2 linked regions of the Danio rerio genome follow. Each later gene encodes a partner of the first gene's protein in a complex. Links are inferred from orthologs where the notes say so. Each region holds a gene or a part of one and is shown in the gene's direction. Other genes may lie near its edges. The genes, in order: rev1 and polh.

Region 1 (9,411 bases):
ATAGGTAATACTTTACAAAAAAGTACCATTAGTAAATGTTAATCAATGCATTAAAATCTACTGTAAAAATGCATTTTATATATTAAAGTTAATTTAGAAAAATATAGCTGAAATTTATTAGCTGTTATCGCACTGCTGTCTGGAATGCTTGATTTTGATTGGCCAATCTCAACATTCTGAGCTGAGGTAAAAAATCACTGAAACTAATAATACAGGCTCATCCATGTATTTGAATCATCCTGACTGTCAGTTAATACGATTGCTTCTGAATCATTTGCATGTCTGTCTCTGCTATTGTTTTTGATGGTTTGGCAGCATTTTGTGAGTTAATAGTACATACTAGGTCAGTGTATGCACCTTTCAGCTGGTTTTGTTTCTATCAGCTTCATCTTTATTAATTTATTATGGCTCAGAAAATGTTTAATGTCTAATTTTGACATTTATGGCAATAGGCATTTAAAAAGCAGGATAAACTACATTCATTTAGTTGTTTTAGCAGCCCAAAAAAGCCATACGCTTGCTCATTCATCCAATCATACGCTATGGCCAATCATATCTACCTATACTATACCGCATGTCTTTGGATTGTGGGGGAAATGAGAGTGTGCAAACTCCAGCTGGGACTTGAACCAGGCATCTTCTTAATATGAGTTGAAAGTGAGCCACCTTGCAGCCCTAGTTAATAACTCCATTTAATAAAAAGATGACTACATTTGATTTTAATGCATTATTAGGTGTTCGCTAATAAGTTAATGTCCCTTTAAGGCAAGTCATTTCACTTAGCGGCCTTGTTTGAAACGCCTCTTGGGCTGTATTTTCGAGCATTCCATCTGAATGGAGAAACATCAAATTTTTCAAAATTGTTTGCCAAGCTTATAATTATATTACATATTTGGAGTCAACAGTAAAATTAAACAACAGTTGTTTCATAAGTTTCGTTTCTAAACGTCTGAATTAAACAAAATCTGCATATTTTCAAGTTGCCAGAGCTAGTGCGCATGCAAACTCGAAAGGAATGAGATCACAACACCAACCTCATTTACGGCAGTGTTACACATCACACAGTGTTGTCCTCTGGATAATGATCATGTAGTCGCACTGGTCATCTGAAATAATCCACAGCTTGGTCTTGATAGCAAATCTTCTCCAGTAGTGAAATCGATTCTATGTTTACACTTTGAGTAATTGCTGTCTCATGATGTGTGTTTGACAGGACTGACTGTACTTCACATTCGTTTATACTGGAGACACGTCAGTCTATAGAGATTTGATGATTAGCTCCTGTACTAGTAGGCGGGGCTTCATTCGCCATATTGACTGTAACACTTTTCTCCATTCAAAACTATACGAGTGACGCATCTTGTGTATTCTATAGTCTTTGCCTAAGGTTAATCAATGCTTTTATATCATTACATTGACTGTAGTTAGGTTAGCTGACGTTGAATGGAAGCTGATCATAAATTGTCTATTAAGGCTTGAAGCGTTTGGTGCTGTGATGTACACTGCAGTGCAGATACAACAATATAAATATCCTTTAATGGTAATCTGAAAGTTGAAATTCTAAATAATTATTTACATTATTTTAAAAACCCACAGCATCAATATATTGTGCACGTTCATGATCACAGTGTATGGCATTATTGGACATCAGCATATGTCTACGCAAAACCTTTATTTGCTTTAGGTTGTGTGTGTGTGTGTGTGTGTGTGTGTGTTGATCTCTCAGAGTGTTGTCTCTCAGGTGTGTTGTTGTTGTGTGTGTGTGTGTGTGTGTGTGTGTGTGTGTGTGTGTGTGTGTGTGTGTGTTGATCTCTCTGATTGATATAAATTAGGTTCAGGGATGCCTCCAGCAAGTGAGTGTTTTCAGGAGTATTTTTCAGTGTGTGTGAGAGTCTGTTTATTGGTTCAAGCTCAACTCTTGAATCCCAGCGTTCCCTCCGTTGCCATGGAGACAGAGAGTCGCCGTGCCAGCAGGGCAGACTTGCACCTCCAGTCTCATTGAATGTCTGAGGCGTAATCAAACGCTTGTCAGCCAGACGCTGCACATTTTCCTTTGTGTGTGTGCCTGTATTGCAGTCTGTTCATTTCCAGAGGTTAGAATTGTGTGGGTTTTTTTTCTATTAAGGTGTGTGCGTGTGTGTGTGGTCAGCTTGTGCTGTATGCTTTGTCTTAGCTCTTGAGCTTGCAAGCCTGTGTTGACGTGAATAGGCTTTGAAATAAAAATCTTGTTTGTTGAATTTTTACTCAGGGAGGTTACATGGCTGCAAAAGTCTCTAAGCTTGAGGAGCAGTTTCAGAAGGATGCCCCGAGAGAGCAGAAGAAAGATGGAAAGTCCTCCTGCATCTTCAGCGGTGTGGCCATCTATGTCAATGGATACACAGGTCAGACTCTCCCAGCATCCCCTCTGCAATGTGCTGTGGAAATAAACTTTCTTACTCCAATGAAATCCCTTGTACTGCATTGTGCATGTTCAGCATCACCATAATCATCGTCATTACTATTATTATGGCAGTATCTGGATGATTTGTTGCACCTGACTATAGATATTGCGTCAAGTCTAAGAGAGTAAATATATAAAAGGATTTTTGTACATATTTCACTTTTACAATTTTATTCAGGGGTTATTTTGTACACTATTTTTTTAAACTTGTATTTTAGGGTGTGTCCAGGTTTATTTTGAACAAACCTATAAATGCTTGAATGCAGTCATCTAAACCTTGGTGTACACCAAACAAGTGGACAAAAAGCCCTGAGAAGACTGGTTTTGGCCTTCTTTTAAATGAATTCTATTGTGGCTTGTCTGAAATATGGACAATAGATGTGATGTCACAAAATGTGACCAAAGAAATGGACATAATGCTCAAGCATAACGGATTATTCTCTTTATAGTCACAAAATGTCCCAGTACAGTTCAATAAAGGTGTCAGAAACGCTTCTCCTTGCAGCAGATTATCATTTGTGTGTGTGACACAGGGGCTTCCTGGTCAAGCACACAGCATTGTTTGGGATGTTCCGTAAGTTATTCTGCACAATACATGTCATAAAAACTTGTAGTTAGTGTTTTTATCTTAAAAATGAGAGTGTGAACACCCAGCAAATTAAATGTATAGTTTTTTTTTTTCAATTTTTTTAGGTACCGACCTACAGAACATAAATAAATTCTGTATCAAATGATCAGAAGTGATACCAGCATTTCATATAGACAACATTTATTATTAATGTCAAGCCTGAGCAAATCTGAAACTAGGGGTGTGTGGGTACAAATACTCACATGACTCTCTCATTTGCCTTCAAATGTTGCATGCTTTTGCATGGTTTGCTTGCTTGATGTAAACTGCATTATAGACCCTGTTCACACCTGGTATCAAGATACATTTTCATGATGTGATCACAAGTGGTCAAAGCAAACATTACCATTCAGACCCTGCATTTAAAGGTTTCTTTTGTCCATTTTTGACCCTCTAATAATGGAGGGTCTGTGGGCAGGTATTGTTTTTCTTTGAACTTTCAATCTAATGCCTCTTTCACACTGGCAGTGACTTTGTAGCTGCCTGTCGCTCTGGGTGATGACCTGCTGCATACGCAGTTCTATGTAGGCCTACAGCACCAAAAAATACAACTCGCCTCTGCAGGAGCTGAGAGAGGATCACATGAGCTCTACTGGTGCTCCTATTGGCTGTCGTCCCTCAAGAAAGTCACTCTTCATTTGCATAAAGTTTACAGATTCTCAACTTTGTCACGTCACTCGACAAGCCTACCTGATCGCCAGCGGTTGCTGTCACTTGCATAAATGGAGATCGCCGGAATCCGCTCACTGTCTGTTGAAATGAACGGCTGTTTGTTGCTGTGCTGCTGCGAGTCGCTCGTAGTGTGATTGAGGCTTAATACTGCCAAAGCTAGTGCAAATTTTATGCTGTGCAAAAAAAATATGCTGTATATAACCTGTAAATATGCTTAATGCAAAGGCTCGAATAATTAAATTATAGATATAATTTCTTTATATATAGATATAATTATAGATTTATTTAATTTCCAATCAACCAATTAGTTTTAATGTCTATATGTTTTTGTATTTATTAAACTTGTTTAACAAATATCAATTTAAAATCAAAAATTAAATCTTTGACTTAAATAATTAGGCATATGCAAAGGATCAGGAATCACATTAACACATCCAACACATGCACTATCACCTAAAGTCTCTGAATTTTTGCTTTGAATAGAATATTATTAGTAAAGGCACATTAAAGACTTTAAACATGAAATAAAACATTCACAAAATTGTATCTTATAAAGAACTCCTGTTGGTTGGCGCTGCAGGAAAGCTGCTGTTTGAAGAGAAAGCAGCCGTAGCCTATTTTAAAATAATTTGCAGTCAAATATGTATTTATTTTTCATTCATCCATTCGTTTTCCTTTGGCTTAGTCCCTTTATTCATCAGGGGTTGTCACAGTGAAATCTACCGATAACTTATCCAGCACATGTTTTACACAGCGGATGCCCTTCCAGCTGCAACCCAGTACCGGGAAACACCAGTACACTCTCACATTCACACACATACACTACGGCCAATTTAGCTTATTCAATTTACCTGTACTGCATGTCTTTAGACGGTGGGGGAAACCCAGAAAAAACCCACGCGAACACGGGGAGAACATGCAAACTCTACACAGAAATGCCAACCGACCCAGCCAGCACTTGAACCAGCGACCTTCTTGCTTTGATTTTACAGTGCTAACCACTAAGCCACCGTGCTGCCTCGTATTTATTTTTGCCAAAAAAATTAATTAAACATATTGCCACCAATATGAATTCTAAGATTACCAATGACAGTTTAAATCACAGTCTCTCCACTGTGTCTCAAATGAGACTGAAGAATGAGATCACAGTCATAGAGAAGAATCACAGTCATAGAGAAGGCAGTGTTTTGTGGCTGTTCAAACACGTTAACCCAAATTTGTGTCTGCACTACAACTGCAATTCGCTTTCGACCACCTATTAGTATGGTCAAAGTGGACAAGTTCAAACTGTTTCAAACCTTGTTCACACCTGAACTTAACGTTGTCCACTTATAATCAGATCGAAGAAAATGAATCTTAATACCAGGTGTGAATAGGGCCCTATAAATTGCTTTGGAATATAAACCGCTTATATTCCAAAAATTATTGTATTTCCTTTTTAGAAGGTTATTTTTACTTACTGTTGAAGTCAGAATTATTAGCCCCCTGACTTATTAGCGCCCCGTTTATTTTTTTCCCCAATTTCTGTTTAATGGAGGGAGGATTGTTTCAGCACATTTCTAAGCATAATAGTTTAAGAAACCTATTTCTAATAACTGATTTATTTAATCTTTGTCATGATGACAGTAAATAATATTTTACTTGATATTTTTCAAGACACTTCTTTACAGCTTAAAGTGACATTTAAAGGCTTAACTAGGTTAATAAGGTGAACTAGGTAGGTTAGGGTAATTAGGCAAGTTATTGTATAACGATGGTTTGTTCTGTAGACTATCAAAAAAAAATAGCTTAAAGGGGCTAATAATTTTGTCCCAAAATTGTTTTTTAAAAAATTAAAAACTGCTTTTATTCTAGCCGAAATAAAACAAATAAGACTTTCTCCAAAAGAAAAAAATATTATCAGACATACTGTGAAAGTTTTCGTGCTCTGTTAAACATCATTTGGGAAATATTAAAAAAAGAAAAAAAATCAAAAGGGGGCTAATAATTCTGACTTCAACTGTATATAATTAGGTTTCATTAAATAACCATATTTATTTTATAAATTGATAATACAAAACAGCTGTGTTCAGAATTGTTATTCATATGATATTTTAAAAAAGAAACTCCAAAATGAACTGTGCAGCTGAAAGAGTCAGAAGGATGAGCACTGGGCCACTGCTCTTGCATTTTGAGTGTATTTGTTTTGTATTTGTGTGTGTGTAGATCCCAGTGCGGCTGAGTTACGCAGGCTTATGATGTTGCATGGTGGGCAATTTCATCTGTATTACTCTCGCTCCAAAACCACGCACATCATTGCCACCAACCTGCCCAACTTCAAAATACAAGAGCTCAAAGGAGAGAAAGTAGTGCGGCCAGAGTGGATCATAGACAGGTGGGTGCCTTTGTGTGCACTTTGCAGTTTGCAGAAGCACAATACTAATAGTTTTTTTTTCTTGCATTTTGTGCAGTATAAAAGCAGGTCGCCAACTATCATATATTCAGTATCAGCTCTATGCGAAGCAGAAAGGATTAAATTTCACCAGAGTTTCTGGAATAGAAGGCCAGGACCCGTCATCCAACCATGGACCAGACATCAAGCCTCAGCCGAGCCATACTCTATCTAAAGACGTCCTCAAGTCTACTCAGGCTAACCACATGGCTAACTACACTGAGAAAACCGATCACCAGCTGGATATCAGGCTGTGAGTGTGCCTTATCCTAAGGTGTTTTTTAATAAACGGATTGGTGGAAATTTCAACACCTTTATTTTCCCAGTTTTTACATTTAGATTTCCTCTGTTTTCATGCAAGACTTATGTAAAAATAATTAGATTTATAAAAAGCGCAAATTATTAATTAACAGTTTAATTTACTTTTCCATTTGTTATATAACTATTTAACCGGTTAAATAAGTATTTATAACAGAAAGTCTATTACTCTGATATGAAAAATGTGAAAGTTTCTATCAAAAAAAAAACATTTTTGAAAATGAGAAAATTCTGAATTAGAATGTGCACATATTCAAGTAATACATTATACTGCAGTAATGAATGTGCACAAAATTGTTATTATGGCCACATCAAAAGTGAATTATTTTGTCCTTGAATTTTTTTTTATAGCACGCTTTTTTTTACCTAATAAAGAAAATGTACGACTCTGCATGTAACTTTCTATTCAGAAAAAAAGTCATGTTTCAAAGTACAGACAGAAGAATTTTCCTTAATTTGAAGTAAATAGATGGATTATATTAGACTTGAGTCAGGTTTATTTTGTACATTCACATAACGGATATCCATACACCAGTGTATGTTAATGTGTTTTCTGTCACATTTGTCGTACAAAACAGTGCAAAACAAAACGTGTGTGCGCTCACACAACATTGTGTGTGACTCATCATTGCAGAAAGGCTTGAATTAACTCCACAACAAATATATCAATTAACAGTTGGGACTGTTTCTATTAACAGTAAGGGAGATCTGTTTCATTCTTGTCTGTCACTGTGCTGTTTATCTACGTCAGGGCTACGAAGGGCCGGTGTCCTGCATAGTTTAGGCCCAACTTCAACACATCTGCCTGGAAGTTTCTAGTATACCTATTAAGTGCTTGATTAGCTGGTTCAGGTGTTTTTAACTGCGGTTGGAACTAAAATATGCAGGACACCGGCCCTCCAGGACCGAGTTTGGGCACCCCTGATCTACTGATCTAAGGCTACATGGATCGGAGTGATCTCTGTGGCTCTGACATGCATGTGGGAATGGTGGGCGGGGAGAACTAGCTCATTTGCATTAAACGCACAGGCAACAAAAACAGCTACAATGCATTAACAGCTCAGATTTCCCAGATTTAAAGAGGTATAATAAAAAAAAATCTTCAAACAAACTTCAATTTCAAACAGAAACTTTACAGACACCTTCTAGGGACACAAAATACTCCAGGCTAAAATAGTTGCCCTTTAGGGTAATCTATTGGATGACTTGTAGCCTTCCATATTTTTCTGTGTATAGTTGGAAGACAGCATATGCAAGATCAGTATCTCTTTTTGTCTGAGAGATTATGCATGTCCTACAGTATATATATATATATATATATATATATATATATATATATATATATATATATATATATATATATATATATATATATATATATATATATAATTTTTTTTTTTTTTTTTTTTTTCTGAAAAAAAAAAAAACTACTGGTCTACTGAAACACATTTATCTGAGCAATGTTATGTAATTAGATCAATAATGGCAGATTATATATTAACAATTTCTATTCAAATAATTCTTTCTCTTTTATTTGTCCAGCAGAAATGGTTTGCATAGCATTATCTCTGAGGTAGATGCAGAGAAATCGAGAGTCAATGGGATTCATGATGATGATGATGATGATGACATCGCCTGTTCCATTTTGCCAAGAGGCTCACAAGACACTTTGTTAACTAACGGTCATGTACACCCTGTGAATGGTGCCTTAAAGCCTCAGGACTTTGCAGACCATCATCCTCATGTTGTTGACAAAGCGTCCAATCAGTCTCACCTCCCACAGGACAAATACAGGGAGGGTGAGGAGCCCTGCTGCTCATATACTGAATCAAAAGCTAATTCCCATCTGAGGTCCTTAATATCAGCAGCCAGTCCTGCAAAGCAGCCTGGTCCTCACAATATGCAAACGGACCTCCATCAAAAACCAACATCCAATTCAGGAACTTTAGGTGCTCCTCAGAAGGCCAGTCTGCATGATCAGACCACAGTCCGGCTAAATGGGAGTTATCACGTGACCTCAAACTCCTCCACTCTGGCAAACTCTAGTAACCAGTCAGGAAAATCCTCTGCAGAGGCTGGAATAATATCCGAGTTCTTTTCTCACTCAAGGCTGCATCACATTTCTACGTGGCGCAATGAGTTCTCGGAGTATGTAAACAGCCTGCAGAGCAGACGACGAGCAGCAGGTGGAGCTGTTTTCTCTGGAAGAGAGAAGCTGAAGAAGCTCAAAGCTAACTGCAATTCAGGTGGCATCTCTCTTCTTGTGTTTTTTGTGTTGTTATGAAGCAAGTGTTTATTTGATGCAACTCTTACAAAAAAACAACAACAAAAGAATAATAAAATGTATATAGTAATATATAGTGTATATAGTAATAAATATATAGTAATAATACTAGTCTCTCACTTTGACCCAGGTTCCTTGATGGCTGCTCCTCAGGTGCGTCAGTCATGTGTTCTCCATGTTGATATGGACTGCTTCTTTGTCTCTGTGGGGATTAGACACCGACCAGATCTTATAGGCAAGTTTCAATCAATTATCCTTGTCTGTTTTCAGCTGGTATTAACTTGTGTTCAAATGCATCTATTGTGACCAATAGATTTTTGCTCTTTAAATTTTGCTCTTTATTTTGCACTGATCCACATTATTTTTGTGTAAGTAAGGGGGTTGTCATATGAACACCCCAGACTGGAAACATAACCTTGTGCGACAATTTCATGTGTTGATGCATTTCAAAGTTCAAGCTCTGATCTGCGAATTCGCATCACATGATTTTGTAAGACCAATAGCAGTTCACTGTACAGAAATGCAGACTAGAATCGCTCTTATTATCAACGCAACATAATCTTTTACTAATCTGCCTATTTCACTACGACGACCACAGAATTTTATATGTTCAAACTCTTGTGACTGTGGCTTAAATG
Region 2 (9,411 bases), on another chromosome or scaffold:
GAGGTAAAAGTTGGCTTTATATTCATCATATAATTTCAGAAAAGTGTTTTTTGCAAACCATAAATGGGGAAATCACATTATCAGTCAGTGAATATCAAAGTACAACACTGCTTATAGTCAATAAAATAATGATAATGTCATTGTGAAGTCAGACCTGCATGCTATTTCAGACCAAATATTAAGTTTAGCGTTTCACAAGTTGTCACTGTTCAGAAATGAGCAAATGTGTTAACATATAACCAGCTTTACTTCGTTATCACAAAATACATTCATTAAAAAGTAATTTGTAATGTATTCTGTCAAGTTAAGTACCGTCCTACATCACTAATATACTATAGCAATTTTTAACTATGCTTTAGTAAAGTGTATTATACTGTATATTAGAGCATTTAAAATACTCAATTAATGCTTCAGCATATTAAACCAACTTCACCCCAATAGAAAACTGACAGAAAAACTGCTCAGAAATGAGCAAAACAGCACAGATATAAGCAGAAATATACATTATAATCAGAGCTGGGAGCTTTATTTCACTACAGATTTCAAATACATGATTTAAAAAGACATGTGTAATGCATTTTATTAGTTTAGTAATGTTACCGACCTACATTACAAATATACTATAGTAATCTTTATTGGGGTAAAGTTGGTTTTATATTTGCACATTCATTCAGTGACGACTCCTGACACCCTCCCTGTATAGTTTACCATGGTATTTTGAATATTGGGTGTGAAACAGCATGTAAGTATGAGTAAAAACAACATCAGCACTATTTACTGACTGTGATCAGTGTTGTATTTTGATAGCCACCGGCTGATAATGTGATAATGAGGTAAACATTGGCTTTATATTCACACATTCAGAATATATTCAGTGAATATCAAAGCACAACATTGTTTAGTCAGTTAATAATAATAATAATAAATAGTGCTGATGTTGTTTTGAATTTCAGACCCAACATTTAAAGTAGCCGTAAACACTATAGAGAGCATTAAAATGAACACTTGTGTGAAAATAAAGCCAACTGGACCTCAGTCTTCCTCAGAGGATCTGTGTTAAAGTGCTGTGATTACTGTGTCCAGCATTATAGCGGTGAGTTACGAGGCCAGAGCTCATGGAGTCGGCAGGAACATGTTCGCGGATGATGCCAGAAAGCTGTGTCCAGATCTGCAGGTGGCTCGGGTCCCAGAGGCTCACGGGAAGGCGGATCTCACACAGTAAGAGCTGTTTATTCTCAGAGCCACTTCAACAGTTATTACTTTCTAATTACAATTTAGATGAAGATTAAATGTCAAAGAATTTATTGCGATTAATTGCAATGAATAGTCCCATACAGAACTCCATGTCAGATATAAGACATATTAATTATGTCTATTTGTGTTTCTAATAATTAAAAGCGCACAGTGCTCAGCATAAATGAGCACACCTCCTTTGAAAAAAGCACATTTTTATTTTTATTTATCATTTTTTTCAATAAATATAGCCAATATGTTTTGGTGCATTTAAACTAAACAGTTTGATTAATCAGATACATGCATTAAATTAAGAGTTTGGTCACCGAATATCTTTAGGAATCCAAATAAAATACATTTAAATTGTGACTGGGATCCTGTTTATGAATCTTTTATTTAATATTTATCATTTATTCATTTTCCTTCGGCTTAGTCCCCTTATTCATCAGGGGTCTCCACAGCGGAATGAACCACCAACTATCCCTGCATATTGTTTATGGAGCCCATGCCCTTCCAGCAGCAACCCACTTGGAAACACCTATACACACTTATTCGCACACACACACACACACACACACACACACACACACACACACACACACACACACACAAACACAAACACAAACAAACACAAACAAACACACACAAACACACAAACACACACACACAAACACACTCACACACACACACTCATACACTCATACACTATGGCCACATTAATTCATCAGTTCCCCTATAGTGTTTGGACTGTGGGGGAAACCGGAGCACCCAGAGGAAGCCCACGCCAACACTTGGAGAACATGCAAACTCCACACAGAAACTCCAACTGACCCAGCTGGGACTCGAACCAGTGACCTTAGTGCTAACCACTGTGCCACCCCTATTTAATATGTATCCCTAACATAGTATTTTTTGGACCTTGTGTTTGTGTGCGCGTGTGTGTGTGTTTCAGCTACAGGGAGGCGAGTGTGGAGGTGATCGAGGTGATGTCCCGCTTCGCTGTGATCGAGAGAGCCAGCATTGACGAGGCCTATATGGACCTGACGGCCAGCGTTCAGGAGCGCCTGAAGAACACCAGTGTGCAGGACATCACGGCGCAGCAGCTGAAGAACACACACATTCAGGGTTTCCCTACACAGCAGGAGAACACACACCTGGACAGAGGTCAGCCCTGTTCTCACCTGGTATTAAAGAGACAGTTCACCCAAAAATGTAAACACAGGGTCAGTTTTACCCTTCACTATTGTTGGTACACTATATAGAGTTCGCCAAAGGGTCCAGATGGTCTAGTATTTCTGGTAGAAATGTGAAGTGTAGAGATGTCCCTACTCTAACTGCTAATATTGCCCACCATTAGGGATGTAACGCTATTGTAAATACCGTCATTTTGATACCGTTACGTCCCCACCCTCCATGTGAATTCAATTAGAACTACAAATTCAGGGGAAAAGTGTAAACAAACTACAAAAATGGCGGATGCTCGAGACCAACTGTCCAGTAGAGAGTAAACCAGGGGTGTCCAGACTCGGTTCTGGAGGGCCGGTGTCCTGCGAAATTTAGTTCCAACCCCAATCAGACACACCTGGGCTAGCTCTTACTAGGCTTTCTAGAAACATCCGTGCAGGTGTGTTGAGGCAAGTTGGAGCTAAAATCTGCAGGACACCGGCCCTCCAGGACCGAGATTGGACACCCCTGGAGTAAACCTATAGAGAGGCTTCAAGAGATGTTTGAATGACTTAATTAAGATCTAGTCAAGTGGAAAATCTTTAAATCTTGTTTTCTGTGTAATGTAATGGTACTTTTACTTGAGTGAGCTGTTTCCTCATCCTCTTCCCACCGCTGTGTGTTGTGTTTGTGCAGATGCGCAGCGGGCCGCAGGTCTGCAGCAGTGGCTGGATCTTCTGTCCTCCAGCACTGAATCTTCACCTGCGGATCTGCGTCTGGCCGTCGGGGCTCTGATAGTGGAGCAGATGAGGGCTGCTGTGGAGGAACACACCGGGTTTCGCTGCTCCGCCGGTATCTCACACAACAAGGTGGATATAAGAGAATTTCTACGTCTCTTTCTACATTTACAGTTAGCGGGTGTTCAGTCGTGGTCATGAAGCGCAAAATAAGCTATATAAACCCAAACCCAGCATGATTCCCTTATTGTATCAAGCTGTTTAAAATAATTGCAATTATGGCCTTTAATTGTCTGATACATACAGAAATCTAATACATGACTCAATATGAACATATACTGTATATCAAATTATATGTGCGTATTTGTTGTTGTAATTATTGCAAATGAACATGCAAACTCGGATTTGTTTGCAGCATTTTGAAATATGTGTGCATATATAACAGGGCTCGAAATTGCGACCATTTTGGTCGCATATGCGCCCGAAAATTAATCTATGCGACCTCATAGTATATTTGGGCGCATTAGTGCGACTGCTGATAATGGTTGTAGTGCGACCTGTTTTGATTTTTTTGTAAAAACGTGCTGAATCGCTCTTCCCTGCCGCTATATTGGTTCATATTAGCTGTCAATCCCTCAAGGTATTCCGCTGTCAGATGACAGGGAAGGAGCTTGATGACCACGGGAAATGCAAACGGCTGAAGAGTAAAAACTTAAAGCACACAGGTTTGCAAACCCCACCTAAAGTTGAGGCGCAGATGAGAGCGATCATGACACGTCACGTGGTGAATAATGATCCGCTAGCTGAGATCAATCGATTACGCGCTTCTTGGAGAAGGCGCCCGAATCTCCATGCTTTGCATTCACTGCGTGTTCAGCGCAAATGTCCGCTAAAAGTCAAATCTAATACTGTTCATATCATCGCCAAAGAAGCTCGCCTTTACTAAGTTTACACTGAAACTGCGTCTCATAACAAAGAGCGGTATTGCGCCGATGGTTAGTCTAGATGGTTAGATCTAGTCTCATATTATTTACTGTCATCATGACATCTAAATATTCTTCAAGACACTTCTATACAGCTTAAAGTGACATGTAAAGGCTTCACTAGGGTAATTAGGGTAACTAGGCAAGTCATTGTATAATGATGGTTTGTTCTGTAGACGATCTAGAAAAAATATAGCTTACAGGGGATAATAATATTGAGTTGAAAATGGTGTTTAAAAAAATAAAAATGCTTTTACTCTAGCTGAAATGAAACAAATAAAACTTTCTGCAGAAGAAAAAATATTATCAGACATACTGTGAACATTTCCTTGCTCTGTTAAACATCATTTGGGAAATATTAAAAAACAAAAAAAATGCAATGGTGAGCTAATAATTCTGACCTCAACTGTATATGTGTGTGTGTGTGTGTGTGTGTGTGTGTGTGTGTGTGTGTTTAAAATGCAAACATCAATCCACACCTGCATGATAAATATGTAATTTACAAATTTCATTATCTCATTTGTCATCCTTTTAATTACTAAGGAATTTTTACAACTTTTTAAGATTAATTGACTTGTATTGAGAATATAAGTTGACACTTTGCACCTTGAAATATGAAAGTAATTTATTGCATTCTCTATATGTTAAAAACAATCACAACAAACTGGCCACACACACACACGTTTGTTTTTGTACTGTTTTATACTGTTCAAACCGTATATTGTATTGCCCTCACCCCACCCCACCCCTAATCATCACAGGAGTCAGTGTGCAGCTTTACTCTCTGATTAAACTCATCCTGTGTGATTTATAAGCTTTTTGAGTAATGAGGACGTCACCAATGTCCCCATATTTCACCTGCTTTTTGTAATACCTGTGTCATACCCATGTCATTATACAGATTTGTGTCCTGATATGTCACAAAAACACACACACATAAACACACACACAGAAATTCTGCTAAAGTTGAAACCGTTGGCTAGTATCTGTTGCTTCATTCTCCACAGTGATTTGTTGACGTCGCTGCCTGCTGTTTGACATGTTTATACTACATTTATTCCCAGTTATAATCAGTCTCTCCATCTTAAATGTGAAGACTGATGAACTGTATGTTGGTTTTTGTTTTCATTGAACTCTAATGTTTCTGGGTTTGTCTCTCAGGTGTTGGCCAAGCTGGCATGCGGACTAAACAAACCCAATCGCCAAACCGTGTTGCCGCTGAGCTCCGTTCCTCAACTCTTCAGCACTCTTCCCATCAGCAAAATGTAAGTGATCGCTAATCATGTCAGTAAAATTCCTCTTCGAATGACTTCAGTGACTTGAACAGTACTGCCTCGCTTTATTTCTCAGTGAATAAGTATTTAATTATAGTCAGTGGTTTTAGATAAGCACACCCAGCACTGCCTGTACCTCATGAACACGTGTGTTTCCACATGTGTATGTTGTGCTCAGTCGTAATCTGGGAGGGAAGCTGGGCTCGTCCATCACGGAGACTCTGAGTGTGGAGAACATGGGAGATCTGACCCGGTTCAGCAGAGCCCAGCTGGAGCAGCACTTCGGGGACAAGACCGGGTGAGCAAACACACACGGAGAGAAGATAAATAAAGCCATGTACAGATCTGAAATCAGCTGATATTCATTCAGACACTCATCATATGCAGCTTTATCATGGACTTAATGAGTTTGACAACTTGAACTGGACAGAATATTCAATTAAGCAGGCGAGGTTATTTCTGCTGCAGGTTTCACACACACACATGACTGACTCAAAGTGCTTTACAAGAAAAAGAAGATCAAATACACGTGTAGATCAGAACAACAGAATAAACATCATTAAACTTGATGAAGCAGATTTAAAAGGAAAACAGAAGAAAAAAAAGACATTAGTGAATCATGTGTGTGTGTTTCTGTGTGTGTGTGTGTGCGTGCGTGTGTGTGTGTGTGTGTGTGTGTTGTGTGTGTGTGTGTGCGTGCGTGTGTGTGTGTGCGTGCGTGTGTGTGTGTGTGTGTGTGTTGTGTGTGTGTGTGTGTGCGCGTGTTTGTGTGTGTCTGTCTGTGTGTATGTGTGCGTGCATGCATGCGTGTTTGTGTGCGTGTGTGTGTGCGTGCGTGTTTGTGTGTGTGCGTGCGTGTGTGCGTGCGTGTCTGTGTTTCTGTGTGTGTGTGCGTGCGTGTGTGTCTCTGTATGTGTATGTGTGCGTGAGTGTGTGTGTGTCTCTGTATGTGTGTGTGTGTTCGTGCGTTTGTGCGTGCATGTCTGTGTGTGTGTCTGTGTGTTTCTGTGTGTGTGTGTGTGTGTGCGTGCGTGTGTGTGTCTCTGTATGTGTGCGTGCGTGCGCGCGTGTGTGTGTGTGTGTGTGTGTGTGTGTGTGTGTGTGTGTGTGTGGTGCCTGTGTGTGTGTGTGTGTGTGTGTTGTCAGGCCGTGGCTCTATGATCTGTGTCGAGGGATTGAGTTTGAGCCGGTGAAGCCTCGTCAGCTGCCCAAATCCATCGGCTGCAGCAAGAACTTCGCTGGGAAAACCTGCCTGCGCACAAAACAACAGGTGGAGGGAGAGAGAGTGTGTGTGTGTGTGTGTGTGTGTGTGTGTGTGTGAGAGAGAAAGAGAGAGAAATGCAATTGTGTGTGTGTGTATTTGTTTGTGTGTGTATGCACATGAGAGTGTGTGTTTGGTTGTTCATGTATCCGAGTTGTTTCTGAGTGTGTGCAATTGATTGTTTGTATATATTTAATGTTTGTGTGAATGTGCAATTGTGTGTGTGTGTGTGTGCGTATTTGATTGTGTTGTTTGTCTGTGTGTATGTGTTGTGTGTGTTTTTTGTGTGTGTGTTTGGTTGAGTTGTTTGTATATATATATATATATATATATTTATGTTTGTGTGAATTTGTATTTGTGTGTTGTGTGTGTGTGTGTGTGTGTGTGTGTGTGTGTGTCTGTGTGTGCACATACTGACGCTCTGTTCTCTCTGCAGGTTCAGTACTGGCTCCATCAGCTGGCTCTAGAGTTAGAGGAGAGACTCAATAAAGACAGAGATGTGGTGAGTACACACACACACACACACTGCTGCGTCTCACATTCATATTTAAATCCTTCATCAATCAATCAGTATATTACTGTGTATATTGATAATGTATATATAAACACAAACACACGCATGCAGATATTGAGAGAATGTTTATTTGTGTTTCGATATAAAATATTTATGTATTTGAAACAAATTGCATGTAAGTTGAAATATCTGTGTAAAAAAAGGTTTTGTTACACACACACACACACACACACACACACACACACACACACACACACACACACACACACACACATATATAATGGCAAAACAAACTTTTGATTTTGGATGCAATTAATCCTGATAAATCCAGCACTAATAGCTTAGTCCCTTTATTAATCAGAGATCGCCACAGCGGAATGAACCGCCAACTTTATCCAGCATATGTTTTATGCAGTGGATGTCCTTCCAGCTGCAACCCAGTACTGGGAAACAGCCATACACTATGACCACTTTAGTTGATCAGTTCCCCTATAGCGCATGTGTTTGGACTGTGGGGGAAACCGGAGCACCCGGAGGAAACCCACGACAACACAGGGAGAACATGCAAACTCCACACAGAAACACCAACTGACCCAGTCGGGACTCAAACCAGAGACCTTCTTGCTGTGAGGCGATCATGCTAACCACTGCGCCACTGTGACACCCTAATGTGGGATAATGTGTGATCTTTGATGTCTCCATATACATAACTCATGATGTTCAATAGGGTGTACAAACATTTTCACAAGACTGCATGCGTCACCTCAGGTGTGTGTGTGTGTGTGTGTGTTTTCTCCAGAACGGTCGAGTGGCCCGGCAGCTGACGGTGGGTGTGCGTCAGGCTGGAGGTCAGAGGTCAGGCAGTTTCTCGCGCTGCTGTGCTCTCGTGCGCTATGATGCGATGAAGATGACCAACGACAGCCTGACCATCATCAAGAGCCTGAACACTGCTGGAGCACACCAGGAGGCCTGGTGAGGAACACACACACACACACACACACACTTCTGCTTTCACTCACGCGTGTGCACACACACTTTCTCACAAACACAGACACTCATGCGCACTAACACACACACTCACTTGCTCACACACACACACACACACACACATACAAACAAACATGCTCAAACACACTCACACACACGCTTAAACACACTCACACACATTTGCTTAAACACACACACATACAAACAAACACTTGCACCCGCGCACACACTCACACACACACACATACTCTCACTCACTCACTCATTTGCTCACACACAAACATGCTCACACACTTGCTCAAACACACTCATGCACACTTGCGTGCACACACGCACTCACACACACAAACACGCACTCACACACACAAACATGCTCACACACACACACAAATACACACATACACACACAAACATGCTCTCTCTCTCACACACACACACACACACAAACACAAACATGCTCTCACACACACACAAATACACACAAACACAAACATGCTCACACACACACACACACAAATACACACATACACACACAAACACAAACATGCTCTCTCACACACACACACACAATTGCACACACACACAAATACACTCACACACAAACACACACACACAAACATGCTTTCACACACACACACACACACACACACACAAACATGCTTACTGACACACACACACACACACACACACAAACATGCTCACTCGAACACACACAAAGCTTGAACAACCCAAGTGAAGTTGCAGATGTGTCGAGTGTAATCCAGGCTTGCGTCTCCTCAGGTCTCCAGCGCTGACTCTTCTCCATCTGTCCGCCAGTAAGTTCAGCGACGCTCCCTCATCCTCATCTGCAGGAATAACCGGCTTCCTGAGCAGCGACGCGGCTTCATCTCCATCACAGAGCTCCAGCAGCCAGCGGAGCCCGATGGAGAGACCAGCGCAGAAGAGGAAACGACAGCAGGACCAGCGCCAGCGCGAGAACACCACTAGTATATCCGCATTCTTCCAGAGGAAGAGCCTGGAGAAACAGGAGATCCAGAACTCTCTCTGCCCTGGAGATCAGAGCACGAGTGCTTCAGGAGAACATGCATGCGGAGATACAGCCGCTCAGAAAACCACAGCAATCTCCACATTCCTCCAGAGAGAGAGCCTGGAGAAACAGGAGATCCAGAACGTCAGCCTCGATGATGAAGACCAGAGCGTTTGTGCTCCAGAAGAAAACACATGCAGGGAGAAACCTGCAGGAATCTCCACGTCCCTC

The links.
Region 2: the proteins of rev1 (region 1) and polh are in contact, whole or in part, in an NMR structure (PDB 2LSK), measured with the Homo sapiens proteins. The link is inferred for Danio rerio from reciprocal best matches to the Homo sapiens genes REV1 and POLH. Residues at the interface, in NP_057400.1 of Homo sapiens: Asn1158, Leu1159, Ala1160, Gly1161, Leu1171, Leu1172, Trp1175, Ile1179, Asp1181, Pro1182, Met1183, Glu1185, Asp1186, Gln1189, Val1190; in NP_006493.1 of Homo sapiens: Thr528, Glu529, Pro530, Phe531, Phe532, Lys533, Lys535, Ser536, Leu539.

The regions. Positions count from the first base shown.
Region 1 is NC_133184.1:23,412,652-23,422,062, forward strand, and holds part of rev1 (DNA repair protein REV1), read left to right. Parts: intron 1-2,248; coding exon 2,249-2,381; intron 2,382-2,973; exon of another isoform or gene 2,974-3,007; coding exon of another isoform or gene 3,008-3,014; intron 3,015-5,945; coding exon 5,946-6,114; intron 6,115-6,190; coding exon 6,191-6,424; intron 6,425-8,031; coding exon 8,032-8,735; intron 8,736-8,885; coding exon 8,886-9,008; intron 9,009-9,411. UniProt on the Homo sapiens protein: Deoxycytidyl transferase involved in DNA repair. Transfers a dCMP residue from dCTP to the 3'-end of a DNA primer in a template-dependent reaction.
Region 2 is NC_133188.1:715,392-724,802, reverse strand, and holds part of polh (DNA polymerase eta), read left to right. Parts: intron 1-1,083; coding exon 1,084-1,218; intron 1,219-2,185; coding exon 2,186-2,397; intron 2,398-3,093; coding exon 3,094-3,266; intron 3,267-5,278; coding exon 5,279-5,382; intron 5,383-5,569; coding exon 5,570-5,689; exon of another isoform or gene 5,690-6,532; intron 6,533-6,537; coding exon 6,538-6,661; intron 6,662-6,817; exon of another isoform or gene 6,818-7,088; coding exon 7,089-7,154; intron 7,155-7,965; coding exon 7,966-8,138; intron 8,139-8,933; coding exon 8,934-9,411. UniProt on the Homo sapiens protein: DNA polymerase specifically involved in the DNA repair by translesion synthesis (TLS). Due to low processivity on both damaged and normal DNA, cooperates with the heterotetrameric (REV3L, REV7, POLD2 and POLD3) POLZ complex for complete bypass of DNA lesions.